Linked DNA regions of Pelodiscus sinensis. The main gene of each other region encodes a partner of the protein of the gene in region 3 in a complex. Links are inferred from orthologs where the notes say so. Each region holds a gene or a part of one and is shown on either strand. Other genes may lie near its edges. The genes, in order: CCNC, MED19, MED4 and MED21.

The links.
Region 1: MED4 (region 3) and CCNC share a complex: the UniProt entries of both Homo sapiens proteins name them as parts of the mediator complex. The link is inferred for Pelodiscus sinensis from reciprocal best matches to the Homo sapiens genes MED4 and CCNC.
Region 2: MED4 (region 3) and MED19 share a complex: the UniProt entries of both Homo sapiens proteins name them as parts of the mediator complex. The link is inferred for Pelodiscus sinensis from reciprocal best matches to the Homo sapiens genes MED4 and MED19.
Region 4: MED4 (region 3) and MED21 share a complex: the UniProt entries of both Homo sapiens proteins name them as parts of the mediator complex. The link is inferred for Pelodiscus sinensis from reciprocal best matches to the Homo sapiens genes MED4 and MED21.

The regions. Positions count from the first base shown.
Region 1 is NC_134713.1:70,571,515-70,579,457, forward strand, and holds the start of CCNC (cyclin-C), read right to left. Parts: upstream 3,107-7,943; 5' UTR 2,926-3,106; coding exon 2,894-2,925; intron 462-2,893; coding exon 355-461; intron 1-354. UniProt on the Homo sapiens protein: Component of the Mediator complex, a coactivator involved in regulated gene transcription of nearly all RNA polymerase II-dependent genes.
Region 2 is NC_134714.1:128,612,826-128,620,720, reverse strand, and holds the start of MED19 (mediator of RNA polymerase II transcription subunit 19), read left to right. Parts: upstream 1-4,812; 5' UTR 4,813-4,905; coding exon 4,906-5,140; intron 5,141-6,095; coding exon 6,096-6,352; intron 6,353-6,566; coding exon 6,567-6,663; intron 6,664-6,815; coding exon 6,816-6,910; intron 6,911-7,747; coding exon 7,748-7,816; 3' UTR 7,817-7,895. Other genes in the region: TMX2 (thioredoxin-related transmembrane protein 2), read right to left, coding at 221-297, 1,831-1,944, 2,760-2,820, 4,279-4,467. UniProt on the Homo sapiens protein: Component of the Mediator complex, a coactivator involved in the regulated transcription of nearly all RNA polymerase II-dependent genes.
Region 3 is NC_134711.1:288,753,804-288,761,020, forward strand, and holds the start of MED4 (mediator of RNA polymerase II transcription subunit 4), read right to left. Parts: upstream 3,145-7,217; 5' UTR 2,994-3,144; coding exon 2,662-2,993; intron 1-2,661. UniProt on the Homo sapiens protein: Component of the Mediator complex, a coactivator involved in the regulated transcription of nearly all RNA polymerase II-dependent genes.
Region 4 is NC_134711.1:119,852,279-119,859,636, reverse strand, and holds the start of MED21 (mediator of RNA polymerase II transcription subunit 21), read right to left. Parts: upstream 3,087-7,358; 5' UTR 2,902-3,086; coding exon 2,860-2,901; intron 2,715-2,859; exon of another isoform or gene 2,322-2,714; coding exon of another isoform or gene 2,292-2,321; intron 1-2,291. UniProt on the Homo sapiens protein: Component of the Mediator complex, a coactivator involved in the regulated transcription of nearly all RNA polymerase II-dependent genes.

The DNA.
Region 1 (7,943 bases), on a different chromosome or scaffold from region 3:
ATTCCACTTCTTAAGTCTCTACATAGAAATTTCCTTTTTTTTTTTTTTTTTTGCCCTTCCTATCTTTACAGAAACATCTTGAAAATAAGAAGGAAGCCTATTAAAATTTCATACGATAACTAAGAAATACATGTACAGCTAGTTTATCTTTAAAACCCTCTGTACAACAAAGAGGACAGCTAATCTGGATAATATTTAAAAGACGGTTACTTTAAGTTACATGTTAAATATGTGGAGAGAATGTATATAAATGTTAATGAGAAAATTATTTATTCTAACCAACTGAAATATGGATTCAGACATGGGTAAATACAGTGTGGGTTAAACAGCAGAGTCAAAGATAAAAATGATTACCATTAGTAAAGAAAATCTGCAATTTCCAATATTCTTCTTCTGTCAGAAATTTCAAGTCCTTTTGGCGTTCCTTCAACAGATCTTGCTTATCCAAAATCCATTGTAAACTGGAGAGGGAAAGCAATTTAAAAAAAACTATGCCCAAACATTATGCAATGTCTTCAACTCCATTAGATTGCAGATTACATTTGTGGGAAACCAAGTTGATAGTGTCCCTTTAATCAAGTCTTGCAATAAGAGAGTCATGCTTGTGAAATAAATTTTCATTAGGGTCATTACAGTCAGCTTTGGGGAAAAAACAAAAAGTAAGAGGATTTATTTTAATTTTGTTGCTGAAAACTTTATACAACTGATAAACTATCACTTATTTATGTTTTATTCTATATTTTTCAAATATGAGTTTTTAAAATTCTGTATACTCAGAACTGAACTGCTCTGCAGTCTTCATTCTTGTATAATAATGAAATATGGTAACACTTCATTCTTGACTACTTTATGTACAGGGCTCGCCAAGCGGCAGCAAGTCCCATTCGCCAGCTGCGTGATTTTGTGCTGTTCTGCGTTCTGCGCATGTGCAGATCGCTTTGCACATGTGCAGATCGCTCTGCGCTGGCTCTTCTGGGTTGTAATCTACTCGCCACGGGCAAGTAGATTACATTATTTGTCGAGCCCTGTTTATGTATTTAGTTTAACTTTTGATTTCTCTCTCTCTCTTCTTGGTTCAGTTTATTATTCGACATTGAGTATTTATACAGCCATTCCTTGAGCATTTGCGGCTTTTCTACTGCACTCCCAATATACAACTGCTTAAAAGTGTTAATAAGATGGGATGCTACAATTAGCTTTTTTAATCAGTTTGCAACATTATTACTCAGATGCTTCATACAAATATTTACACATGTACTTCATTTGTGAGAGTCTAATTCTGAGATGGGTAATAATTTTGATGGGGGGGCACTCCAAGATTTTTGTAAGTGGTCAAGGACTGTACTTTTCTATGGAGGAGATGCAGAGCCTGAGATGGAGGTTGGGTGCAGAAGGGAGCTCAGTGTAGGGGATTGGGGTGCAGGAGAGGGTGAGGAGTCTGAAAGGGAGTTTGAGTGAAGAAGGGGGTTGTGATCTGGGGCAGTGTATTGGAGTACAGTATCCAGGAGGGGGTATTTGCACAAGAATAGATTTTGACCTGGGGAAGGGGCATAGAAGGGGATGCAGGGTCTGGGAGAGAGTTGTGACCTGGGATGGAGAGGTGCAGAAAGTTTATGTGGTGATCTGGGGCAGGGAGCTGGGGAGTGGGAGATAGTGGGGTGCCAGAGGCAGACTCCAGCCGGTAGACACTTACCTTAGGTGGCTCCTGGCCAGCGGCCCAACAGGGATGCCTGCCACAGCCCCAGGCTGCCCCAAACAGCCTCCATGTACTGCTCTGTACCATGCACTCCACCTGGGGAGTAGAGACTTTGCACTCTGTTCCTGTCGCAGGCCAATCATCGCAGTTCCCATTATCTAGAACTAGCCAATGGGAGCTGATGATTTGCATGAAGGCAGGGGCAACATGCAAAGTCTTCCCCCGTCAGAGGTGGGCAGCACCTAAAGTAATTTTGAGCAGCCTTGGGCTACGTATAAATCTAGAAAGTTCACCTATGTATACCTACATTGGAGTGAGATGGAAAATTAGGCATTTATTGGTAAATAATTGTTGTGCATTTGAGCATCTCCATTTATTATAATCAGGGTAGCCAAGTGAGTAACGAACAAAATAGAAGAGAAAGGAAATAGCTAAACTGCAGTTGTCATGAAAATTGCTACTAAGCCAAAAAAAGTATTAGCTGTTTTAAATATGTAGACATAAATATACTCTAACTCCTAAAGTAAATCAGATAGGTTTTTATTTTATTATTTATAAATATTTGCATTTAAGTCATTTTAATTAACAATAAATTATCAATTATAACTCCCTATGGATCCTATTTTAAATGGTCATATCCCTGTTTTTGCCAAAAGACATTCCTCTCCCATCACACTATTCTTCCTTCTGTCACAAGTTTTAGTGTCACACTCTGGATTTCCTTCTCAATTGCTTGGAGAATTTTTTTTTTTTTCATTTTGTTTTGTCTGTTAAAAAACCCACATTCTCTGGCTCACAATTTGGATGTGCCAAAACCGTGGAGAGGGGAGAAACAGTCATTTCTATTAGGATTCATAAATGATTGTCATTGTCCACTCCTCCAACCCCACTTTACAGCTTTCCACGTTAGTTTAATAAGTTTTCTATGGCCTTCGCTTTAAAACAAATAATGCAGTGGAAACGGGAGGAGGGGGAGAATCCGAAGCGAACTTGAATTGCACGAGCAATTCACCGGGTTAAAGAGCGCCTGGATGGGTGTAAAAGCCCGGGCCACCCGGCCGTGGTCTCCACAGCCCCTAGCCCAGCTGGCTGGCCAGTGGCCACCCCGACAGCCGGGCACCGCCTCCGCCCGGCCCCGCACCCCTCCTGCCGCAGCAGGCGCCCCAGGGCAGCCCCGCGCCGCCAGGGGCCACTCACTAGTGCGAGCTCTGCCAGAAGTTCCCTGCCATGGAGAGGGGCGCGGAGGCGGCTGCTCTGTGTCACGCTACCGAGGACCCCGCCGCTCAGCCCGGCAGCAGGAGGAGGAAGGAGGCGGCGGGAGCCCGGCGGTGTCCTGGCTCCGCCGACCGGCGGCGCACACTGCCGAGCGCGCCAGTTCCCGCGCAGGCGGGTTCCGCCTGGAAACAACCCCGCCGCCGCCGGGCCAGGCAGAGTCACCGGCAGGAGGGAGGCGGCGGGGACGGCTGAAGAGCGCGGGGGAGGGACAGAAATTCAGCGGAGCCCTGGTGCACACCGCGTGCTGGCCGGGCTCGGGGGGCTGCGGGGCGCTGCAGGCTGGGGCTGCACCTTGCACCGGCTGCTTCTGCTTTCTCTCTGCTGCACCTTGTATCCTTCCCCCGATTTCTAAGAGCAGACGGGCTAAGGCAAAGATTCCCTGCAGCCACCTGAATGGAGTGGTAGGACTGGAAGGGGCCTCCAGAGGTCATCTCATCCCGGCACTCACGGCAGGACTACGGATTATAGATCAATCCTTGGCAGCTCTTAGTCTACTAGCGGTTAAAAATCTCCAGTGCTGGAGACAGATACCTCAACCTCCCTGGATAATTTGTTCCAGTGCTTAACCGAACTGAACATAAGTTTTTCCTAATGCCCAACCTCAATCACTCTCGGTGCAAATTCAGCCCATTGCTTTTTGTTCTGTCCTTAAAGGTTAAGGAGAACATTTTCCCCCTCCCGTCTCCTTGTAACAGCCTTTAATGCACTTTCAGGCATACGTTCACTTTCTAATTGCACTCAGGTTACTATCTGTAAACCAGGCAATATATATATATATATATATATATATATATATATATATGGCAAGCAAGGGCTTGTATTTTGTTGCAAATTCTATTTCTTTTCTTACATCATCATCCATTCCTCCCACTCTAGTTGCCTCTTTAGCCCACCTGTTGTAGCCATCGGATACCTAATGTCTGACAGGACAGGAATTATGCAGTGTTATTGTAGCCCTCAAGCGTTTGAAACACATAGAGCTGTGCTTCAGGATGGGAACTGCCTTTTTCCCCCCAGCTTCAGGTGGTAGCCGAGTTAGTCTATACCAGATTATTAGTTGTTTTTTCTCCCCTCCCCCCAATTTGCCTACATAGTGCCTTGCTTAATGGGACAAGCAACAATAAAAGTAGACACGGTGTTTAACTTTCAGGATTGTGATGCATATAGCTCATTATAGGTACTATTACAAACAAATAAGAATAATAATTAGCTTTCTAGCTAGCATCCAGTATCAAGATATCGTGACAGTGATCCATAGATGTCAGAAGTGGCTTTTTTCTTTCAGCTTCACTAAGTGGCACACATTACAAACCATACAAAATACTGATTGAAAAAATTGTTTTCTTTACAAGCAACTCACATATCTAGCCACGTGGGTCTAATTTCACGTTCAGGGCCATAATTTCCAGATTACATCCAAGAAAATTTGTGGTGATCAGTTCTGGTTTGAGTAAATTTGATATAAGTAAATTGGGAGGGGTTGGGTTTTTTGGCAGATTTTGTTTGTTTGGAAGGGTGTCAAATTGTTGTTGATTGTGAACCTAAGATAATACTGTAACAATTATTACAGGTATTTTCATATATCATTCTAATTTTGGTTATATGCAAGAAGTATTAATTTGTCTACAAAGTGGCTGACTGCTATTTTGTACTGTTGTTAACACCAAAAAAAATCAATTCTTTAAATTTTACCTAAAAGTAGTACCATAAACATTAAAGTTTATGGTGCATCATCTACATATACAATAAAACTATTTCACCCCAGCATGTACCTTTCAGGAAATTGATTTTCTGACATATCACGTTGTTATTTTTATTATTTTATGTGTTACCATAAGATCTAGCAACTGTCATCATGGATCAGGACCCCATTGTGTTAGGTGCAGTACAAAAACAGAACAGAAAGAAGCCCCAAAAAGTTTACAATCAAATTATAAGACAATATGCTAGGATATACACTTTTAAAACACAAAATAGTACATGGTAGACATTATACCTCAAAAGAAAAATCAAATAAATCAAATTTTAAAGATAGATTAGATTAGATTAGATTAGATTAAATAGTGTGGGTTTTGCATAAGAAATCAAAGGTGGATAATAGATAATAAGCAGGAAAACTTTTCCAGGGTACTAACAAAATTAAGGGGGCAGGTTTTGACTCAAGCTATGGCTCTTTAAATTAATTTAGTGGTAAAAAGTGGCCACTAAACTGCTCTTAGCAGGCATCTGATTATTTCACCACCATAGCTGGCTAACCACTACTCCCTCCTGGTTCCCTAACAATGGTTGTAGACTAGGGATGTAAAATCCTGTTTAATTGGTTAAACAGGTAAATGCACTGCTGCCATTGTTTTAACTGTTTAACTAATTAAAGGGAGTGTGGTCAGAGGGGCTCTAGTCCTTCTGAAGTGCCCCTTCCCCCGACTGACTGGGCTCAGGCTAGAACAGCCCCTGCCACAGGCAAGGGTCCTCCAGCCTAGCTGCTTTCTGCCCCCATATGTGGGCTGCTGCTGAGATTTCCGGCCACCATGTAGGTGTCCCTGCTGTAACGCCTGCCCCGCCCACATGGGGGAGGGCTCGACAGGGCTGAAGCAGCCCTCTGCCCATGGCTGGGCTACAAGCAGGGGGACTGCTCCTGGGTACAGATTAACCGTTATCTGGTAAGCATCCACCATTAAGATAATGGTTTAACCAACTACCTGTTAACATCCCTAGTGTGGACATGCTGGATCCTTTCTAGAGAGTGCTGCTCTTCAGAGATCTCAGACCTACAAACCCTTGGGAGCCATTAAAAGCCAGTGGCAATTACAGTCTTGGGAGCCCTGGAAATTAAGCAAGCTCAATGCTAAGTCTTTTGCACTTTCTCTCTACTCAGCTGCTTTGAACAGAGCTCTGGTGCAACTAAATGTCTAGTCAGTATGTACAATAATGGGATAGGTTTGGAAGGCAGCATTATAATTTACTGCAAAAGAAATATAAAACAAATGGCATTATGCTGTGTCTGTACCTTGAACTTCTCAAGAAAGCAGCAAATAGCACAGAATGCAGAAAAATAAGTGCTGTGTTAAAGCACTTGAAGTAGAAAACAGCATCTGATGAAGAAATGTGAGAGTATTACCCATCACATATTGATTTACTTATTTTGTTTAATTGATTGCAGTATAATTCTTGTTAAGAAACTGAGTGATACTCAAAGTCAAATGAGAGACTGTTCCCCCATGTCTGTATTATTTTTTTTGGTTGTTTAGGACTTGATTATTTGCCCTTCCATGGCCAATCTTATCAGGCTCTACATCCATTTCTCCAAGTAAATGCACAGCAGTTATCACTCTGGTGTCTGATTGTCTACTGCACAGGTAATGTTTCCGTTATAACTGGTTCATAGTCATCAATGCTTCTGTTAACCCATGATCCTCCTTTGCAAAGAGATTCTGTAAAAATGGCAGGGCCGTAACAAAGGCGAGGCAAGTGAGGCACTTGCCTCAGGCGCATAGCTGAGAGGGAGCAGAAAAGACAGCTACTATGCTGTCTTCACTCGTGCCTCGTGCCACATCAGCACCCCTGCCCTGTGAAAGGAAGGTGTTGAGGCCTACTCAGAATATGTCAAATGAGCACCAGTTTAATTGTAAGTGTAAAGGAAAGGCAGCATTGTGAGATATAGGAGTTGTAAGATGAAAAAACCAAAATTTGATTGGATGACCAACAGTAACCCCGCTTTTAGACTGCAATATGCAACTCAGACTGCAATATGCAACAAAGTGCTAATTACCCCAAATGGAGCAGACGAAAGTTTTGAAAGGGCAGAATGAGACAACAAAAATCTAACGTCAGCAATTGTCAGGCGAGTGGAGGAATACTGAAATACCGAAACAGGGTATATAAGGTTGGACGGAACAGACCAAGAGTGGATGAGTTGCGAATCCAAAAAAGCTAGGTCTGATCAACCAGGGCTCCCTTCCGGGTGCTGAATCTCGCTGGCACACATAAGCTCCAAAAGAGGAACAACACCAATAAGTTGCAACGAAAAAATCCAAAAAAGGAAAGACATAATGAAAAGAATATCTCTTGAATCTAAACAATGCTTCTATCTTTCTTTACGTGAGTATTATATATTTAACTCCATAAATTGTTTAAAGGTAAATCTGGAGGGTATATCTGTAGGAGGAGTTATTATTTCTTGTTTTTTAACTATGCTGTTTTTCTACTTTTTATTTGTATATTACACTGTCTTAAAAGAATCAAAGATAGTGAATTGACTTAAATGGAAAATTAATTATAAAGTAAATAGAAAAATAAAAATATTTGTTTGACCCTAAAAAGAAATATTCCCCTGTCTGTGGTTTCAAATCCTTTAAAGAACCAAACCTGGTTACCGAAACGCCCATGCCAAGGACGGTTTTGCCTCAGGCACCAAACTAGCTAGTTGCAACTCTGAAAAATGGCATTGTCGTGGTCTATATTTATTGTCTCTCAATAACTCCCAGATTCTGGGACTTTTCTTAGTTATACTAAGGCTCTTGAATGCTGCTCTGGCAATTAAAAAGGGTATTTTAAAAGTATAGACACAACCTGTGATGAATGGAAGAGGTAACACATTTTCTGGACATTCCAGTCATTCAATTAGGTAATATATTTTCGCAGTAGTGGTTAACTCTTTAAACCTAAACCTAATTGACCTGTGGGCAAGGGTTAAAACCGTAGACCGTATGTCTTAGAGAGTCCCCAGGCATGCTAGGGAAGCAGGAAGTAAGTTGTCAGGAAGCCAGGAGAGCCAATGGAAAGAAATTATGTGCTTTTGAAATGAAAGCCGTGATCTTCCTGTTCTTGTTGTGTGACTCGAGAAGAGCCTGGAATACAGGAATTAAGCCAGGAAACCAAGCATGGCGAATTCAGTAACATCCTAAGGAAGGACTAAATCTTGGAACTACAGTTATGTGAGTAGAACAGAGAATAGTTAGTTAGATGCGATCAG
Region 2 (7,895 bases), on a different chromosome or scaffold from region 3:
AGTTAAACCTTCACATCCCTACCACTTGCCAGGGCTAGATGCAACCTCAGGTACCAGGAGAGCCACGGCCCAGCCCTGCCAGCCCAGTGCCTCCTCCCTGGGGTCCCAGTGTGGCCTGAAGTCAGGGTAGCGATGAGCAACTTAGGGTCAAGCAGGTCCCCAAGCCACAGCAGCCCACAGTAATGTTGGCCGGGAGGGTTGAGGGGCAGGCGATACTCACATCGATGGTTTTATCGCTGAAGTACTTGATATACTCTGGTCCCAGGTACAGGGGCGGCTTGCAGGTCATCAGGAACACTGAAAGGAGACGCACACAGGCTGTGACTGGCTGCACTTTGGAGGTTTGCACACAGATTGGAGGAGAGGGGGCAGGGAGACCCAGCAGGCACAGAAGTCAGACATTTGGTTTCCAGGACTAGGTCGCTTGCTCTGTGGCTTTGTGAGAGGTTTTATCCAGCTCTCCCACACTGGATTCTTGGCTCAGCAAGCGTGGGAGGAAGCAGCCGACACGATCTGGTCCCGCAGAACACTCTCCTAAGCACGTTAGGGAAACGTGACCTACGGGAAGTTGTCAGAAGGTGGGCAAACAGCTGGTTGAAAGAGCGCACCAAGAGCGGTTGCCAATGGTTTGCGGCCCAAGGCCATAACTAGTGGGAACAGCATTCAATACCGTCACCAATGCCTTGGACACGGAGGAGAGCGTGTGCTTAGAAGATCTGGGGTTGAGGGGCTGCCCAGATGGTGGGAGGTTAGAACTTAAAATGAGTTTGACAGATTGGAGAACTGGTCTGACTTCAACAAGCTGAAAGCCAATGAAGACAAGCGCTAGAGGCAGGAAGGAATGAAATCGGATGCAGGGCTACCCAGTGGGGAACTGGCTAGTAGGCAGTGCTCCTAGAAAGGGTCCAGGGCTTCCTGTGGACCGCAATGGGAACAGGAGCCAACAAAGGGAAAAAGGCTAATGTGGCCCTGGGGTGCAAGTGGCTGGGGCCAGGGAATGAAGATGACAAGCAAAGAGAGGGGTGAAGCAAGAGAATGGTCTTAGCAGCAGCAGTTTGCACCGCCCAGTTGCAGAGGCAGGGGCAGTTACCCCGCTCTGGGGCAGGGGAGCATGCACTCGGACAGTGCAGCAGAAAGGAGCTTGAGCCCTTCCTCCCCGTGAAGTGATAGGGCCCGTACCAGCCTAAAAGGGTGCTGCATTTAAAAAGCCAATTGACGGTGGAGAGTCAGCACTCTGAGAGCCCCAGCCCTGAAATACATAAGGAAGCTCAAAGACTGCATCCCTAACCCAAGATGGGGCATGAGGAGTTCAGCCTGTCGTCTAGGGCAGGGGCTTTCAAACTCTGGGTCACAGCTTCTCAGGGCAAGCTGCTAGCTGGCTGAGACACATTTTTTTAAAAAATCTGCACCTCCCCAGGACAGTCCATCGCAGCTCCAGTTGGCTGGCCAATGGGAGCAGTGGGAAGCGGTGTGGACTGCAACCAATGGGAGCTGTGCGCAGGTACACAAAGCATCATGCAGCCAACTAGTGCCAGAGTTTGAAAGCCCCTGGTCTAGGGAGGAGTCATTTTGCTGGGGGAGGGGACGACTACTTAGCACCATGGGGCACGTGAGCAAAATCCAAGCAAGCACAATGGTGTTTCAGTAAGAACCCTTTCTCCCACCCTGCGTCTGGCTGGTCTAGTTGGATGGGCAGCTCCTCAGGGCAGGGACCTTCCCCACTCTGCATGGGCTCTATGGAGCAACTGACTGGGTTGGGGTGTAGCGAGCGTACAGCACAGACTTGATTCCCTTCGGAGCCAGCCACGTGGCCCCACAGCAGCACCTCACCTATGCACAGCGTCAGGTAGAGCAGCCCCATCCGCACATCCAGCCGGAAGAAGAGGATCGCATTGGCCACTTTACTGAACATGAAGATGTTCCCCACGTGCTGATCCACGGTGACTGGGGAGAGAGGAAGTGGGGGAGGTCAACCCCAGACTAACACCCTAGTTCAGGGCAAAGCTGAGGTGCACGTGGAATAGACCAGGGCATTGCACCTCACGACCCAGCACCTTCTCCTCTCAGTCCAACACAGACTGCCCCACTTCCTGTACCTGCCCCCCGCACTGACGCTGCCATCCCAAAGTCTCTTCCTAAGAACAGCAATATTGGGTCAGGCCAAGGGCCCATCTAGCCCAGTGTCCTGTCTTCTGACAGAGGCCAATGCCAGGTGCCCCAGCAGGAGAGAGCAAAACAAGGAATCATCAAGTGATCCCTGCCCTGTCACCAATTTCCTTTGACAAACAGAGGCTAGGGGCACCATCCCTGCCCATCCTGGCTAACAGACACTGATCGACCTAACCTCCATGAGTTTATCTAGGTTTTTTTTAACCCTTTTAAAGTCCTGGTCTTCACCACACCCTCTGGCAAGGAGTTCCATAAGTTGACTGTGCCTTGTGTGAAGAAAAACTTCCTTTTGTTTGTTTTACACCTGCTACCTCTTAATTTCATTTGGTGACCCCATGTTCATGTATTACAGGAAAACGTAAATAACTCATCATGCCAGCTTTGAGGTCCAGCTGCTCTAGGACCTCCCTGATCTTGCCACATGCCTCCTCAGCCAGACCCCCTCCAGCCCTCCTCCCTACGCCAGAGTCCTTCCTGGGGTCCGACACGGAGTCCAAGCGTGCCCACCAAAGCAGCCCTTGGAATGCCGCCCCCATCTCCGCCCCCGGAACAGTCCCGCGGAGGCATGGGGGCGGGGGAACAGGACTCACTGGATCTGCGGTTCTTCATCATCACGATGGCACTAAGGAACATGAGGATCTCCACCTCCCGCTGAAAGAAATGGGGGGGGGGGCAGAGTCAGCCCGGCTCAGATTGGGGCGCCCAGCCCAGCCAACGAAGCACCAGGGAGGGAGCCGGAGCCCCCAGAGTGGAAGCCCCACGTGGAACCAGCCAGGGGACTGGGACAGCTGGACATAGCATGGGGGGAGGCAGGGGGGCTCGGGACTCACCCAGTCGAAGTCGCGGGGGGGGGGGGGAGGCAGGGGGGCTCGGGACTCACCCAGTCGAAGTCGCGGGGGGGGGGAGGCAGGGGGGCTCGGGACTCACCCAGTCGAAGTCGCAGGGGGGGGGGGGAGGCAGGGGGGCTCGGGACTCACCCAGTCGAAGTCGCAGGGGGGGGGGGGGGAGGCAGGGGGGCTCGGGACTCACCCAGTCGAAGTCGCAGGGGGGGGAGGCAGGGGGGCTCGGGACTCACCCAGTCGAAGTCGCAGGGGGGGAGGCAGGGGGGGCTCGGGACTCACCCAGTCGAAGTCGCAGGGGGGGGGAGGCAGGGGGGCTCGGGACTCACCCAGTCGAAGTCGCAGGGGGGGAGGCAGGGGGGCTCGGGACTCACCCAGTCGAAGTCGCAGGGGGGGGGGAGGCAGGGGGGCTCGGGACTCACCCAGTCGAAGTCGCAGGGGGGGGGGAGGCAGGGGGGCTCGGGACTCACCCAGTCGAAGTCGCAGGGGGGGGGGAGGCAGGGGGGCTCGGGACTCACCCAGTCGAAGTCGCAGGGGGGGGGGAGGCAGGGGGGCTCGGGACTCACCCAGTCGAAGTCGCAGGGGGGGGGGAGGCAGGGGGGCTCGGGACTCACCCAGTCGAAGTCGCAGGGGGGGGGGAGGCAGGGGGGCTCGGGACTCACCCAGTCGAAGTCGCAGGGGGGGGAGGCAGGGGGGCTCGGGACTCACCCAGTCGAAGTCGCAGGGGGGGGGGCAGGGGGGCTCGGGACTCACCCAGTCGAAGTCGCGGGGGGGGGGAGGCAGGGGGGCTCGGGACTCACCCAGTCGAAGTCGCGGGGGGGGGGAGGGAGGCAGGGGGGCTCGGGACTCACCCAGTCGAAGTCGCAGGGGGGGGGAGGCAGGGGGGCTCGGGACTCACCCAGTCGAAGTCGCAGGGGGGGGGAGGCAGGGGGGCTCGGGACTCACCCAGTCGAAGTCGCAGGGGGGGGGAGGCAGGGGGGCTCGGGACTCACCCAGTCGAAGTCGCAGGGGGGGGGAGGCAGGGGGGCTCGGGACTCACCCAGTCGAAGTCGCAGGGGGGGAGGCAGGGGGGCTCGGGACTCACCCAGTCGAAGTCGCAGGGGGGGAGGCAGGGGGGCTCGGGACTCACCCAGTCGAAGTCGCAGGGGGGGGAGGCAGGGGGGCTCGGGACTCACCCAGTCGAAGTCGCAGGGGGGGGGGAGGCAGGGGGGCTCGGGACTCACCCAGTCGAAGTCGCAGGGGGGGGGAGGCAGGGGGGCTCGGGACTCACCCAGTCGAAGTCGCAGGGGTTCCCATCCTCGCGCTGGGTGGGCAGCCCCTGGCAGAGCGGCGGCACTTTGCGCACCAGCAGGAAGGCGGCGGAGAGCAGCGCCGAGAGCGGGTAATAGGGCCGCGCCAGCCAGCGGCACAGCCCAGGCACCGAGTAGAACAGCGCCAGCAGCGGGGCTAGCACCGCCATCTTCACCTCCACTGAGCAGCCCCGCACCGCCGGGACGACCGCGCACGCTCCACCGATCCCTATTGGCTAATCTTAATGCCAATCGTGATGAGGACAGGAACTGTAAGAAAGACCCATTCTCATTGGTTGATACCGCTGCCCCTCAAAATTAGACACATCCAATTGGCTAAATGGATTTCAAGGGGGCCTGCCTTTGTAGAGCGAGGGACTAATCAGATATCGGAATTTGGAATGACGTAAAGGCCAGACCTGATTGTCATCACAGTGCGCATGGGAGAAAACCAATCACGTCAGGCAGAGGAATGTAGCATTTTTGTCCAATCAGAGATAAACAGTGGGCGGAGTTCAAAATAGATGGGCCAATCACAGCCATAGATAGGACAGGCCGCCCTCCAATGAGGACAAGGCAGACTGTCAACTCCTCGAGGAGCCGAGCCAATGGGAGGAGAACGCGCGGGGCATGCTGGGACGATGGAGCCTTTCTCTGCTCTCTTCGGAGGGGCTGAGCCGCCGCCTCCTGCCGCGGCCGCCGCGCTGGGCTTCGGGCCGGGGAAGCCGGGCGGTCCCGGCGCCGGCCCGCCACCCACAGCCGCCGCGCCCCAGAGCGCAGAGGACGCCGCCCGCAAGGCCGCGGCTGCCAGCGGCCCCTTCTACCTAATGCGGGAACTCCCAGGTACCGAGTGCAGGGGGCGGGACTTTGCGGACTTTGGCCAATCGAGTTCAGGGGGCGGCCTTTAGGGGTCTGGCCAATCGGATTGCTCAGATTTCTGATTGGCCTCTCTCCCCGCCTATTAATGGCTGGGCCTGTTTTCTCCAGCCCAATAGGCGAAACAGACGGTCTGGTGGAGGCGGGGCTGAAGAGGTTTTTTGGATTGTCAGCCCTTTCCTCCAATGGGGAAGTCGGAAACCTATGGGGGAGGCAGTGTGTATGAATGACTGGATTGGCAGTTCTGGGAGCCAATCATGATGCAAGAAGATGTTTGGGGGGGGAATATGGGTGCTCGTAGCCAATGGAGACGGGGGGGGAGGGGAGAGAGAGCCTGCTCCCAACTGGGTCTGCATGAGCCATTTCCCAGACTCTTGTGCTGCCCCAGGAACAGTGCTGCCCCAGGGCGGTGGGGGGTGCCCAGGGGAGGGAGGCAGACGTCTGTGGGATGGGGGAGGCTGCTCCCACCCAAGGCCCTGGCTGCTCATGTAGGATCCCCAGGGGCTGGGCCACAGTCCAGCTCTGATGCGGTTAATGGGGCTAAATCCCGTTTCCTTCCCCTGTTGCCAGGCAGCCACGTGAGTCTCCAGCCCGTGGTGCGGCGCTGCCGTGTCCCAGCCGCTCTGGTTAGCGGAGGGGCTCTGCCCCTGCTCTTGAGCAGGCCGGGCTGAGGTCTGCTGCACCTGTAGCCCAGTGCACTGCAGATAGTAATGAAGTCTCCCCACTGTGCTGAGCCAGGCAAGGGCCAGCCCAAGCTTGCTGCTGGAGACAGCTTAAACTAATATGCTGAAGGCCAGAGGGGAAGCCAGTGGCAGAGCTGGGAGGGGAAGTCAGGAGCCCAGGCTCCCAGGCCTGTTCACAGAGTGCCCAACCACATGGCCTTGAGCAAATGTACAACCTGGCTCCCCTGGTCCCTGCTCAGGCAACATGGAATTGACGGGCAGCACGAACCTGATCACACACTACAACCTGGAACACTCCTACAACAAGTTCTGCGGCAAGAAGGTGAAGGAGAAGCTGAGCAACTTCCTGCCTGACCTGCCAGGAATGATCGATTTACCAGGTTCGCACGACAACAGCAGCCTGCGCTCCCTTATCGAGAAACCACCCATCTGCAGCAGCTCCTTTAACCCCATCACTGGCACCATGCTGACTGGCTTCCGCCTGCATACCGGCCCGGTGAGCTTCCTCCTAAGCTATAGGAAGTGGGAGGGTAGTTTTGGGGTGGGAGTCAGGACAGGGGGGACTCTGTTTGGGCTGGGTGAGATGAGGCAGAGGGGTCTGTGGAGAAAACAAAAAATCCTTGCTGATTAACCAAGGAACATGTAGTGGTGGGAGAATTTCTCCAAAGATCATCTCCCTCCCCATCTACCCTAATTTTTCTCTCTACCAGTTGCCAGAACAGTGTCGCTTGATGCACATCCAGCCACCCAAGAAGAAAAATAAGCACAAGCACAAGCAGAGCCGCACACAGGATCCTGTTCCCCCAGGTAAAAACTGCCTTCCACAAATCTATCAGTCCCCTCTCTGAGAGAGAGCAGCACCCACCAAATCTTTTCCAGACCCCAGTAAAATCATAGGTCAACCATCTGCCATCTCCAAGAGGGGCTCACTCAAAGGGAGATCTTGGCTTTCTTTGCAGAAACCCCTTCAGATTCCGACCACAAGAAGAAGAAGAAGAAAAAGGAGGAGGATCCTGAGAGGAAGAGGAAGAAGAAGGAGAAGAAAAAGAAGAAGGTAAGTGACTACAAGGGGGAAGAACTTGTGGTTCACTTCCCCATCAGCAGTCAGTGCTCCCAGTCCATGCTTACCTTACCGGGGAGGGAGAGGGCTTGAAATGTATCTGATCCTCTCCTGGTTACCTCCATGCTCTGGAGTCTCTGTCTTAATATAAAGGCCCGGGAGAGTAGGGGTTTGGATGCTGCTGGTCCCACCTAGAGTAGGCAGGCAGAAAAATAAGCTTTTTCCCACCCAAAAAGAGGGAGGGGGGAGGGAGAGAGAGAGAGAGAGACTCCTTCAAGAGGGTAGGGCCCTGTGTCTGTGTGTGACCCCTTCCTGGGGAGTGGAGAATGGGAGGGGTGTAGTTATTTAGAATTCAAGACTCAAAAGATTTTTGATTTAAGAAATGCTGGTGTGGTGGCTTTGGATGCTACAATTCAGTTGCCTCATGCCCCCTCTTGCATAGAACAGGCTCCCTGGTTTGTCTATATCTCCCAGGACATGCCACTTTCCCACTCCATGAGAGTCCCTGGCCATGGTGCACCGTGGGCGCTGGAGCCTGGCCCAGAGAGGAACGGAGACCCTAAGCATCTGTATTACAGCTCTGATGAGACACCAGGGCTGCATTTGCAGATTGAAATATCTGGGGGTTTGGTAGGAAACTGATGTGTCCTGTTGAAACCACATGCTGTTGGGGGGACGCCTGGGAATGCTCTTTGGGGCAGTGTAAAACAGGCCAAAAGTTCTGAGTCTTCATTCCCCCTGCTCCGATTGGTCCCCGGGCTGAGGAATCCTGTCCTGACTCAGTCCCTTATTGCCACTGTGAATCCTCATGGGGTTGTCTGTCTGACTCAGAACCGGCACAGCCCCGAGCACCCAGGCGTGGGCAGCTCTCAAGCGAGCAGCAGCAGCAGTCTGCGGTGAGGTGCCGACTCAGCATGGCACTGGGAGTGCTCTATGGAGATGCCCATCACCAACATGCGGGGGAGAGCGGCGCTGGAGG
Region 3 (7,217 bases):
TATGAATCAGGGAACAGACTAAAGCAGTTACCTTGCTCATGAGCATTTCACATTCATTTTATCAATCAGTGGCTGATTTCAAACTCTATTTTCCCTATTTGCCATCAATCTGTATTTGAATTTCACACAGTTCCCAACAGATAGAATCTGAATAGATCCAATTTTTGTCTTTGTATTGTTTTCAAGAATCACTGTGCTCCAGTGATAAAGTTGAAACATAATTTGGATAGTATTTTTTAAAATAAATTAAATTGGATTTAGATTTTTTTTTTAAAGAATGTGAATTGCTCTTTACATTTTAGAACTATCTTTATAGAACCTAATTATTACCTGATCTTGGTAGGAACAATTTTTAGACTTTTAGTATAATTATTTAATAAAGCGTAATAGGCAACAGTTAAAATTAAGCAGCCTGTCAATTTCTGTATAACATAAAGGCTCTGATCCTAAAATCTGTTCCATGTTGGCAGACCCTTATTTCCATAAATTGTGATACTGACAGCATGGGTTTCACATGGATACTAGTATATGCCCCCACAGATGACAGAATCCAGACCACGTGACTTTAAATAAATTTAGGCAGAAAGTGAACAAGTTCTGTCTTAATAAGGGATGTTAAAAATTGTGTAGAACAGTAACTGTGTATCCGCTAAAAATCTTAGCAGTGACACAGTTAGTTAAATATGCTGCAGGCCCTGCAATATAAAGCTTAGCTTTATACTACAGAGCCTGCATCAAAACCTCCCCAGGAGCGGAGTGGGTAGCTCTTGCCTGCCTGGCTGCTGGGGCAGAGGTTTTGCTGCCCTGCTGTATCAGCTAATTGATTCAACTCTATCATTTCTAGTCTTAATAACAGAAAGTACCTTTGACTTGAGGGCTACGTCTACACTGGCATGATTTTCCGGAAATGCTTTTAACGGAAACGTTTTCCGTTAAAAGCATTTTTGGAAAAGCACGTCTAGATTGGCAGGCCGCTTTTCTGCAAAAGCACTTTTTGCAGAAAAGCGTCCATGGCCAATCTAGACGTGCTTTTCCGCAAAAAAATCTCTGCTGTCTACACTGGCTCTTTTGCGCAAAAGTTTTTCGGAAAAAGACTTTTGCCCGAACAGGAGCAGCATAGTATTTCTGCAAAAGCACTGACAATCTTACATGAGATCGTCAGTGCTTTTGCGGAAATTCAAGCGGCCAGTGTAGACAGCTGGCAAGTTTTTCCGCAAAAGCAGATGATTTTGCGGAAAAACTTGCCAGTCTAGACACGGCCGAGGTGTTTGCCAAGTTATTTTAAAACAATTATCTCAAGTCAAATTTTGCCCCGGATTTAGGTTTTATAAAAGCAAGCAACCTGAGGCCAAAATAAAATATTGATTAAATAAAAAATGGAAAGCTTGGTTTTATAGAACATTCCCTGTAACACTTGCATTCCAAAACATGGCAGTCTGAAAAGAAACTGACTAAAACCAAAGTGAAACTGATCAGTGCATTTTCCCAGCCATAGCCCCAGAAATTGAGATAAATACAAAAAGTATTCCATATAAATAGGAAAATACATTCGTTTATCAACTTAACTTGAAAAGGTAATCTATAGAGAGCCCCTGCTTCTCTGGAAGGAAAAAGACTATGCCAAAGGACACCAGTTGCACCTTGGATATCAGCACAGTAACTTTCACTGAATAATTAATGTGGGGAAATTTCTGTGGCATGTGGATAGAAGTGAAATAAAGAATGCCAAGCATATGTGGGTGATTAAATGGAGGAAAGGGTTACTGAGGATCAGTTTCAAAATGTATTTCATTATGTACTCTAGGGGACCCTTTAGTGTGCACTTGCTGGGTCTCTATATAGACCAATTAATGTGCACACTACCTCCAACTAATAGGCCACAGAAAGGCAATACAGAACAAGGCACAGTTGTATTTTGAACACTTATCAGTATTTTGGCAAGGATCAATAAAATAGACAAGATTTTTAAAAATGCTTGTCCTATCCCTGCCTGTTGTTTACTTACACTGTAAGTGCTAAACTTAAAAAACAACAAATGGTCTGGTAGCACTTTATAGACTAACAAAACATGTAGATGGTATCATGAGCTTTCCTGGGCACAGCCCACTTCCTTAGTTGACGGGAGTTTTGTAGGTAAGTGCTGTAGATCAAATAGACGTCTTAGATGTCTATAGTAATATATGCAACCGACGTTTCAATGGTTCATTTTAAGTTACCTACTTTACTAGCCACTAGACTAAAAAACAGCGCCTTTATTACAAATCCCGCCCACCCCCCGAGTAATGCTTTTGAGGTTGGTTTCTCGGACGTCCAGGGACAGTTCTGAGCCGACCTGATTGCAAGCCGACAGAGAACGGTGCATGTCAGTTTCCACACAGGGAGGAGTTAAAGCAGCGCTCACGGCAAGGCCATGCCCGGCAGGGAAAGGGATTTCGGTAAGTTACTCGCACCCTTTCTCCGGCTTCCCGAATCGGACCGCTAGCGGCCGGGCCCCCGTTCTCGGGGCTGAGCCCCCATCCCTAGGGCACCTCGCCCCGCCCCGGCGGGGTCCCACCTGGCCAGGGGCCTCTCGGCGCTGCCTCGCTAGACAGGAACCGCCGGGTCCCGGCCGCGGCGGCGCGAGTGAGGCCGAGCCGAGCCCGGCCGGGGGCGCGCGGCTACCTGGCCAGCAGCTCCAGATCCTCCAGCGCCGCCAGCAGCCTGTCCCGCGTGCTGCTCCGCTCCCCGCCCGCCGCCATCGCCGCGCCCGAGCAGCAGCCCGCCCCTGCAGCGGCCCGCGGACGCAACGCCAAGGGCCGGCGACAGCGGCATCCGGCGGCGGAGGTCTGAAGCGCAGCCCCCTGCGGAGCCTGTGCCCGCGCCTGGGGCCGGAGACAGCAGAGCCGGCCTGGGCGGCAGCAGGAGCTCCACAGACTCCGCCTGAGGCGCGGGCCCCGCTTTGCAGCTGTCTCAGCAGGCCCAGAGAGAGAAGCAAATTCCTGCTGAGGGACCATTGGTTTGGGGTCGGCCTCCCAGTGCGCAGGGCCCAGCACCTGCCAGGCAAGGCTCTGTGTCCACCTGTTCAAAAAGTGCCTTTCCAGCCCTGGCGGTTGCACAGAACAGCGGGACACCAAGGCTTGGCGGACAGTGGAGGCTTGTGCCAGGCCTGGGCTGTGCCACAGAGTTAGCTGCCTTGCATGCCCCTGGGCATGCCCCTGTCTGTGCTCACACCTGTGTAAGTGCCCCATTATGACAGTGTAGTAACACCTAGAACCAGGGTTAACCTATTGAGGCTGCTACAGCAGGAGTAGCGAGACTCTGTCAACCTAACAGTCATCCAGAAGCTAGTCCACTATGTCCCACCCTCTCCCTGCAATAGTGTCCACTCTGATCACAACTTTAAATTCCACTGCACAGGAGACACAGAGATCAAAGCCACCATCTGCCTATCTCAGTGGTGGGCAACCTGCAGCCCACAGGCCACATTTGGCCCACTGGGGTTACACTTCTGGCCTATGCAACTGTGGGAGAAAAATCAAATAACTCCAACTGTGTCTAAGGAGGGATTGTGCAGGAAATCAAAAGTCTCTAAAAGAAAACTGCTGTAAGGGTTAAAAGTTTTCCAGGCCTCTCTCCCTGTAACAGAGAGAAATCATCTTAACTTTAATCAAGACCCTTACAATGCCTCCTATCTCAACTTCATGAAGACTCCTAGTCTGTCACAATTTGTCATGTAAACTCTTATCTTTGTCACAGTTTGCCTTGTAGCTCCTCACTCAGGTTATCATATGCTTTTGTACTGTAAAACTTACTTCTAGCACTTCTGGTGAGAACAGAGTACTTCTGCTGAGACTTTGATATGTTAAAGGAAATAATCAACAACTAAACTGTCTGAACATACTGTATAAAGGATCCCTGAAACTCTCAGGGCTGCTGCTACTCTCACTCCGGTAGCTGTCAGCCTGCATGCATGCATAATAAAGTTTTCCTTCAAGATTTCTCTCCTGCCTCACTGTTTTGACCTCCAGCCTCGACCCTTCTGCGGACTCTGTACCCCAGGGGAGCGAGATTTCCCCAACACAACCCATGTTTGCCCCTCTCCACACAAGTGCTTCTTGTGCACTGGGGGCATTGGAGCCCCACATTTCTTTCTCCTTCCCCGCCCTCACAATACTTTTGGAATGCCACAAATCTTCTGATTTGTGCTCCATCACCACTTCTCCCACTTCCTCCCAGAGCTTGAACATGTGAAACAGCTGTTCAGTTGGATCACTTGATAATTATCTGTTCTGTTCATTCCCTCTGGGGAATGTGACACTGGCCACTGTCAGAAGATAGGATACTGGGCTAGATGGACCTTTGTTCTTAAAGATACGTGTAGACCTCCAGGATCCCAAAATAGCTAACCCGTGTCTTTTAAATGTGCCTATTATTTGAAAAAAATGAACACGCTATTCCAACATCCCTGTAACCCTCATTGCATGGATGTTTCAAAATAGCATGTTATTTCGAAATTTGGCACTGTGTAGACATGCCAAATTTCAAAATAAGGTACACAATTTTCATAGCGCAAATTGCATATCTTATTTCGAGTTCAGGGTGCTGTGTAGATGCACTCTAAGGCTACGTCTACATTGGCCCCTTTTCCGAAAGGGGCATGCTAATTTTACAGGTCGTAATAGGGAAATCCGCGGGGGATTTAAATATCCGCCGCGGCATTTAAATAAAAATGTCCGCCGCTTTTTTCCGGCTTTTAGAAAAGCCGGAAAAGAGCGTCTACACTGGCCCCGATCCTCCGGAAAAAAGCCCTTTTCCGGAGGATCTCTTATTCCTACTTCAAAGTAGGAATAAGAGATCCTCCAGAAAAGGGCTTTTTTCCGGAGGATCGGGGCCAGTGTAGACGCTCTTTTCCGGCTTTTCTAAAAGCCGGAAAAAAGCGGCGGACATTTTTATTTAAATGCCGCGGCGGATATTTAAATCCCCCGCGGATTTCCCTATTACGACCTGTAAAATTAGCATGCCCCTTTCGGAAAAGGGGCCAATGTAGACGTAGCCTAAATGTCCTGCAGCCACTGGTTACAATGTGATCCTTAAAGTCATTGCTCATTTCTTGGGCTTAGAAGTGGTGCTCTGACATTTGCAGCTACTCTATGAACCTCAGCATCAATCTAAAGTTGTTTTCCCACTGTTTCTTAGCACATTGGTTCTCAACCTTTCCAGACTACCATACCTCTTTCAAGAGTCTGATTTTGTCTTGTGTGCCCCCTCACTTAAAAATTGCTTGCTTACAAAATCAGATATAAAAATGTAAGTGTCATAGCACACTGTTACTGAAAAATTGCTGACTTTCTCGTTTTGTCTGTATGACATTTTAATTTGTACTGACTTTGCTAGTGCTTTTTATGTAACCTATTGTCAAAGGCAAATACCTTTGTGTCGATGTATCTCCGGGGTATATGTACCCCTGACTGAAAACCACTGTTTGGCAAACTGTCCTCAAAGAAATTATATATATTATACTTTCTGCAGGTCTGCAAATCCAAGAAAATAGTGCATCATATATTTGTAATGTGCATAAAAAGAGTGTAGGTTCCATGTTCTGTCAAAAATGGTAGATACCAAAAAAGTGTCACATGGATTTGTGGGTTTAAAAAAAAAAGGTGAAAATCATGGAATATGGATGGCATTATAGGATGGAGAAAGTTATGCGCTGGGAATATGACCTCTAGCTCCCAGAGGTCCGTGGGTGAGTTGTTTCTATTCTACAGCGCATTGCAAACATTTCAACACAAGACATCGTGCCAGACAGATGTCCATGACACACCGCAAGATGTCCATGACCTTACCCATTGTGCCACTGAACTTTGTGTCAGCACAAGCACTCCAGGTGAATACATGCAGCATTTGACACAAGCAATCAAGTACACACCAGCACAAAGGATATACAAACTTTGTCAGTTGTATGCCAATGGAACTTGGGTCAGCCAAAGTTTGTAATGTAGATATGACCTCAAAAACAAGAAATCAAAGGAAAAGAATCCACAATATTTTAACAATCTCATCATTTTTAAGCCCGTCGTCTGGCTGTTTGATGCCTGACTCATGATTTTTGAACACTTAGGGTTGGCAATATTGAGGATGCGGTGTAAAACCACAGAAACTGTCAGGAAGAGTAGGGGCAGCACTTAGAATTACTTTTACCTTAATGTTTTAAATTTGACTAGCTTTCAAGTTGATGGTTTGAACAACTGAAAATGGATATACAGTTATGGACTCCATCATGCACCTTACTCCTGCGCAAAACCCTGGGCAAATCAATGGGATTCTCCACAAGTGCAGAGGTCTGACCATTTAGATCAGATTGCAGAGTAATTAGATACAGAACATGGTTCTAATCCTGAGGACAATCAAACCACATTTTGATAACTTTAAAAGTATTAAATTACAGTAGATGACCGTGATGCTGCATATCATGCAGACAGATTTCTGGGGCCTGTATGAAGCCCCCCTTAAGTTAATATGGTTACTATGTACCTAGAACAATTATTGCAAACAGACCTGGAGACAGAAGCCACAGGGTGGGTGTGAAGTAGAGAGAAACAGAGATGCTAGGGAAGAAGGTCTCTGGGTACTAGAATATTATTCTTTACAGCACATGGAATTAAAACCAGAAGTCCTCAGTCTGTCCATTGCTCTGCTGTCAGCAAATATGAAACTCACTAGCAACATGGCTGTGTCTAGACTGGCAAGTTTTTCCGCAAAAGCAGTTGCTTTTGCGGAATAACTTGCCAGCTGTCTACACTGGCTGCTTGAATTTCCGCAAGAACACTGACGATCTCATGTAAGAAATCAGTGCTTCTTGCGGAAATACTATGCTGCTCCTTGTCCAAGACGGAACATCAGAAATGGCTGCCCGTCACAGGGAGCCATAGCCTGTAATACCTCTGAAGCTGGTATAGGGGGCTCTGTCTGTGAGGTGGAGTGTTTTCCAAATAAGGGCATGTAAATTAATAATCTTCCCCTGCTCGCTCCACCCATTGCAGTAAAAGATCAGCCAATGGGCTGACTGGTGCTCAGGCCTGCTACTCCACCCACTGCAGCAAAAACCAACCTATGGGGTGATAAGTTCACAGGCAATAAAACAGGCAGGCAGCCCCTCTCTCACTGGGGATTCGCATTGAGTGAACGCCTGGCCTGATCACCCAGACGCCTTGCACCCCCCACTCTCGAGTCTTACT
Region 4 (7,358 bases), about 170 Mb from region 3:
TGTAATATACTTGTGGAAGAATGCACATGCAGCGTAGACGCCCAGCAAGTTTCTGCGCAAGAACAGCTGTTCTTGCGCAAGAAGCCGCCAGTATAGACGTAGCCTAACTGAATAGTGGTACAACCACATGAAATCTTAGTGGGTACATGACTATTTGATAGTCCCTGGGGCAGGGCCAGCAGCCAGTGTGCTCCCTGCCCCACTCCCAGGGAGTCCCCTGACATTCCGTACTGCTGACCAACTTAAATGTATCCCCCAAATTAAAAAAAACATCGTAAGAGAACCAAAAAAGGGACACCATGGCTTAACAACCAAGTAAAAGAAGCAGTGAGAGATAAAAAGGCATCCTTTTAAAAGTGGAAGTTAAATCCTAGTTAAGAAAACAGAAAGGCGCATGAACTCTGTCAAATCAAATGTAAAAATATAAGAAGAAAGCCAAAAAGGAGTTTGAAGAACAAACAGCTAGCCAAAAACTCAAAGAGCAATATCAAAAAATGTTTAAGCACATCAGAAGCAGGAAGTTTGCTAAACAACCAGTGTGGCCACTGGACGATCAAGATGCTAAAGGAGCACTCAAAGATGATAAGGTCATTGCGGAGAAACTAAATTAATTCTTTGCTTTGGTCTTCATGGCTGAGGATGATAGAGAGAGTCCCAAACCTGAGTGATTCTTTTTAGGTGGCAAATCTCAAGAACTGTTCCAGATTGAGGTGTCATTAGAGGAGGTTTTGGAACAAACTGATAAATGTATCAGTAACAAGTCAAGGGGACCAGATGACATTCACCCAAGAGCTCTGTAAGAAGTCAAATGTGAAACTGCAGAAATATTAACTGTGGTTTGTAACCTATTCTTTAAATCAGCTTCTGTACCCAATGACTGGAAGATAGCTAATGTGACACCAATATTTAAAAAAGGCTGTAGAGGTAATCCTGGCAATTGCAGACCGAGAAGTCTGATGTCAGTACCAGGCAAATTAGTTGAAACTATAGTAAAGAATAGACTTGTCAGACACACAAATGAATATAACTTGTTGGGAAAAGGTCAACATGGTTTTGGTAAAGGGAAATAATACCTTACTGATCTACTAGAGTTCTTTGCCATGGGTTAAGAGTTAGTTGTCTTGGGAAAAGAAGGAAGGTCCTCTCGTGGAGTGGTAACTGGTTAAAAAACAGGAAACAAAGAGTAGGAAGAAATGGTCAGTTTTTAGACTGGAGAGAGGCAACTAGTGGTGTTCACCAAGGGTCTGTCCTGGGACCAATCCTATTTAACCTACTTATAAATGATCTGGAAAAAGGGGTAAATAGTGAGATGGCAAAATTTGCAGAGGATACTGAAATTTTTCAAGATAGTTAAGAACAATGCAGACCGTGAAGAGCTTCAAAAGGTATATTGGCATTGGAAAAGGGTCACAAAGGGTCACCAAAAATGATTACCGGGGGTGGGGGTTGGAATGGGTGCCATATGAAAAGAGATTAAAAAGACTGTGATTTATCAATTTATAAAATAGGAGAATAAGGGAGACTATGATAGAGGTCTATAAAATCACAAGAGGTATGAAGAAAGTGAATAAGTTATTTACTTCTGACTATAACATAAGAACTAGGGTCACCAAATGAAGTTAATAGGTAGCAGATTTAAAACAAACAAAAGGAAGATTTTCTTCATGCAGCAGTCAACCTGTGGAACTCCTTGCAGGAAGATGTTGTGAAGACCAAGACTTTAACAGAGCTCAAAAAAGAACTAGATAAATTTATGGAGATTAGGTCCATCAATACTTATTAGCCAAAATGGATAACAATGGTATTCCTAACCTCTGGTTGTCAAAGTCTGGAAATGGATGACAGGAGAGGGCTCACTTGATGATTACCTATTTTTGTTCAGGTAAGTGAGCTCATCATGGACATGGGCACCAGCTTCGTCCCCACCTTGCTGTCTCTGACACAGAGGCAGCAAGGGGGAGGATGCGTGTAATCAACAAGATTTAAACGATAAGCATAGGTTCAGTGGTTAATTGTGGAGTGGTCTACATGATGACATCCCTACTTCATAGATCAACTGGCAGGATCAGTGACTAACTAAGATGCTAACATCAGTACACTCAAGTCCAGGACATACATTTGGTTCCTAAATCATAATCTCTGTCGGCTGCTGCAGAGATAAAATGTTTTCGCCCTTTTCCTCAGCCACATGGGCAGACGCTGCCCAGCCTTTTACTGGTGAAATTAAGTGGGGAAATTATTGTAATCAGTGATGGCGGTGGGGGGAGCAGTGTCCTCTCACCAGCACCTACCACCGAGGCAGAGTAGATACATAGATGCATTCCCCACGGCGGCCTCCTTTTAGCCCCATACCAGCCATTCCAAGAGTGAGCCGAGAGACCGACTTGAAGAGCGCACCGAGGCAAAGGGCCTCTGGGAGCGTCTCCCTCAACAAGCGGCCTCGCCACAGGCACAGCCAGCAACAGCGCCCAGCTCCCCCGCTGTGGACGGCGCGCGCTCAGCGTTGGCGCGCGGGCTGGGACAGGTCAGTTCCCGGGCGGCGCGAGCTCAGCGCGGGGCGCTTCTAAAGCGGGGAGCGGATCCCAGCTGAGGGACAGAGCTAGGCGCGAGGCGCGAGACACAAGCCAGCCCGCCCCCTCCCCCTCCGGAGCTTCGGGGGGCGGGGCGCGAGAACAGCCGAGAACGCTTCAAAGCCCAACGGCCTCCCTAACTGTAAATCGGCGCCATTGTCCTCTCCCCCCCCCCCGAGTCCCAGGTTTGTGACCCCGCCCCCGCCTCCAAGCCGCGGGGAGAGGCTCGCGAAGCGGCCCGAGGAGATGCGGGGAGCGACGCCCAGGCCCGCACCAGCTCCCGCCTCACCGAGTTCACCGCGTCCTGAAGCTGCGTGAGCCGATCCGCCATGATGCTCCCCTGCGCTCCCCGCCGCCCGGCTCCCAGCGCCGCCTGCCCATGGGACAGAGCCCGAGCGCGGTGTGTGCGTGGTTCTCTTTCGGGTCCGAAGGGCGGCTCGGGCCCAGGGGACGCCTCGATCGTCGCTCGCCCCCTGCCGACTGGGAGGAGCCGCGGCAGCTGACGGGACGCCCTGCGGAGGGAAAGGCCAAAGGTGGCGTCCACTGGGCAATGCAAAAAATTGTTGTAATTGCTGTCAGTGAGTGCTAGGTGGGGGCGGGGGCTGAGTGTACAGGGCAATGGCCAGCGTCCTGGGACAAACAGGGACAGAAACAAGGGGGGCCCAGGATTGTTTTAAATCCACTCCCCTCCTCCCACTTTATTATTAAACCTTTTTCTTGCCAGATGTTTTTGCAGGTGGGTGGGTCTAGACTGGCAAAAACTTGCCAGCTGTCTACACTGGCCACTTGAATTTGCGCAAGAGCACTGACTTTGTAATGTACAAAATTAGTGCTTCTTGCACAAATACTTTCCCGCTCCCGCTCAGGAAAAAGCCCTTTTGCGCAAGAATACTTGTGCAAGAGGGCCAGTGTAGACAGGAAAGAACTGTTTTGCGGAAAAAAGCCCCGATGGCGAAAATGGCGATTGGGGCTTTCTTGCGCAAAATAACATCTAGACTGACCACGGATGCTTTTGCGCAAAAGCACTTTCTGCACAAAAGCATCCGTGGCAATCTAGACGCGCTTTTGCAGAAATACTTTTAACGGAAAAACTTTTCCGTTAAAAGTATTTCCGCAAAATCATGCCAGTCTAGACGCAGCCAAGGAGTGTGACACAAGCAAGATTCTCAGGTCCTAAGCCTCTCAGTGACAAATGTAATGTTTTGTGATACACCATTTGGCCCACCCCGCTTAAGCAACAGCCCTGAGCTAGGATGGAAGCAGAATGACTATACTAGAATCTCAGCTCTTTTTTCTACTCTCCATACTTCCAGAAAAAAACTGAAAAACATGCCCATGGAATAAGTGAGTTGTGCCTGTGAGGGGAGAGGGTGCAGGGAAAGGCAGTCAGAGGAAGAAGAAGAGGGCATGAGGGAGCACTCCATTTAGCAATCACATTTTCACCTCATGGGTGCTACCACAAGTTGCCTGTGCCCATGTGGTACCCTAATTACTAAGAAAGCACAAGGCAAATAAAAAGCACTAATCATTCATTATTGTTAAAATAATCTCACAATTTTAAAGGCAATCTCTCAATTTTTTGCTGTTGGGATTGGCAAAGCTGCTTGAGTATGTTGTTGAAAGCATAGTTGTGCATGTAGGCATGGAATCTTAGAGCTAGTCAACACTAGAAAGTTAAGGTGGTTTATCCATATGGGTTAGGGTAGTGAAAAATCCACACCCTTGAGCAACATAATTAGGGCATTTAAAGTCCCTCTGTAGCCACAGCTAGGACTACCAAAGCATTTTTTCATCAAACTAGTACTGCTTGTTTGGAAGGTAGATTGCTTTTGTCCATAGGAGAATCCCCATTGGTGTGGGTAGTGTCTACAGTGACACAACTGTTGCATTTTAAGTCTACCCAAGCCCTTAAAAGTTGGGGATGGAAGAGACATATTAGGGCCCAAAAGATTGTCTCCTACTATATAATTACTTTTATATTTAGTTTCAGAGGTCTCATGTACTGTGGTTTCCACCTCTTTCCTTTGGAGATGATTCCACGGCCTATACATTTTACTAAATAAGAAACTGTTTCCAACACTGAGTTTACATTTTAGCTATCTTAATTTCTTCTCAGTACTCCCACTTTTACTCCCTGGCACTATTATAAACAATTCTTTACCAGCCTTGAATTTACAAATATTTGTAGACTGCTGTCACAAATCCTCTTTAATTCAAGCAATATTGCTTCAATATTTTTCTTCATAAATCAATCCTAACAGCTCTCCAATCATTTTCTTCTCTAAACTCCCTTCAAACTATCAATATCTTTCTAGTAATGTGATGCACAACTGCACAGAAAGATTCTAGAGTCACATCAGATCCTTAGAGAGTTTTGATGTACAGCCCAGAACTAGTGACCTTGTTTGTAGAGCCCTGAAAATCTGTAGATATTCACAGCTCATTTGTGTAGATATGGATGTGGATAAAAAAATTGTGTCTAGAACTCTGCAAATCTGTGGCTATCCACTTTTTAACTGTGAGTTTTCACATACACAGATGTCAATGCAGATATCTGCAACTTATTTTTGTGGATACAAGTGCAGATACAAATTTTGTATTCATGCAGGGCTCTCCTTGTTTGCTTCCATGTTACCTTGTCTAACTTGTTTAATTTACAGTCTGTCCTCACTGATGATTATATGCAAAAACATGTAGCAGAAAAAAGTGCTGTACCTTAAAAGCAAAGTTATCATTTCTAACCGAGACTAAGGAGAAATGTTATGTCTAAAAGTAATACTGAAGACCCTACATATATGTGTATTATTAAAATTCCAGGTATGTTACTTAACACTTTTTTTGCATGACTTAATTCTTTTGCAAGAGAAATGTCAAGTTAAAACTAAAACACAAGCCACACTGTTTATCAGTTGTGAGTAAAACGAGATTAAAATCAACTTCTGCAATTCTGAGAACAGATAAATATCAGAAATTTTGAACCAACCAGAAACATTAAGATCTTGCATGGTAAGTTTCAGCCCAGAGTATCCAAACTGCCATTCTGTTTATGGCATACATAGAAAGCATTTCTCAAGAATAGTGTACTGTCGGTAGACTTAATCCTGCCTCACTTAAGGGGACTGGACTATGATTCTATCAGTTCTGAGAAAAGATACTCTAGGAAAAGCAAGCCTATGCTGATGAGATTCTTATTTTACGTCAGTTAACATATAAAAGATGTTATGCAAATCTATAGAATAATCATATTGGATATGACCAAAAATTAATGTAGCACAGTATGCTGTCATCCAAGAATGGCCAATGTTAGATACGCTAGAGACAATAAACAGAACAGGCAATCAAGTAATCTATTCCCTGTCATCCATGCGCAGCTTCTGACAACAGAGGCTAGGGACACCTGGCTAATAGCCATAGATGGAGGTATCCTCCATGAATGTACTGTACCATAATTTCTCATTTAGCACTACAGATGTGTTTCTGAAAATGTTTGTGCTAAGCGAAAACATGCTATGCGGGGTCAATTTTCCCATTAAAAATGATGGAAAAGGTGGGGGTTGCATTTCAGGTGGTGGTGGCAAAGTCAATTTTTTGTTGGTGCTCAGTCATCAACGTCAACATTAGATATCTAGCAACACAAGTCACTGTGGTTTGTTAAAACATAAAGATAAACATGTGAGTGAGTGGAGGAGCACTGTGACCACGTGTATTCATCCGCTCGTGTATTATCACTGTTTTCACCAACTTATACCACCGCGCGAAGTAGTCCCCACTTGATTATTTTCGTGTTATTTCGGGGACGGTCATATTATTCAAAAAATGTTCCCTAAAAAAAATCGTGCTATTGCGAAAACGTGTTAAGCGGGCACGTGTTAAGCAAATAATTACTGTATCTAGTTCTTTTGTAACCCTTTCATAGTTATAGCCTTCACAACAATTCTGGTAAAGAATTCCACAAGCTGATTGTGTGTTGTGTGAAGAAATGCTCCCTTTTGTTTATTTTAAACCTACTGGCTATTAATTTCATTTAGTGACTCATCATTCTTGTGTTATGAGAAGGAGTAAATAACACTTCATTATATACTTTCTCCACACCATTCATGATAGTATAACCCTTTAGTGGTCTCTTTTCCCAGCTGAAAAGTTCCAGTCTTATTAATCTCTTCTCATACAGAAACTGTTCCATACCTCTAATAATTTTTGTTGCCTTTTTCTGAACATTTTCCAATTCTAATATATCTTTTCTGAGATGGGACAACCACATCTGCATGCAATATTCAATATGTATTTATATAGAGGCAATAAGAATTTTTGGCCGATTATCTATCCCTTTCTTAATGTTTCCCAATATTCTATTCATTTTTTTGACTGCTGCTGCACATTGAGTGGATGTTTTCAGAGAACCACTCACAATGACTCAAAATTTCACTCTTAAGTGGTAACAGCTAATTTAGACCCTGTCATTTTATATGTATAATTGGGATTATGATTTCCAGTGTGAATTACTTTGCATTAATCAGTATCGAATTTGATTTATCATTTTGTTGCCCTAGCACGTAGAATTTGGCTAACAATCTCATGAGCAGAGACAAATCACAATAAACCGCCATCCCTCCTGACAAAGATTTCAATCTCCCAAACACTTATGTAGGACCTGTCTGTACAAGAAAGTTGCATGCCTAAGGTGTGAATTTAAACTGTTACAGTGCAAACCTCTGTGTGATTTCAGTTTGAGTGGTTTTTTGGTTTCGGTTAGCTTGGGTTGATTGGGAACCAGTTTACATTAAGCCA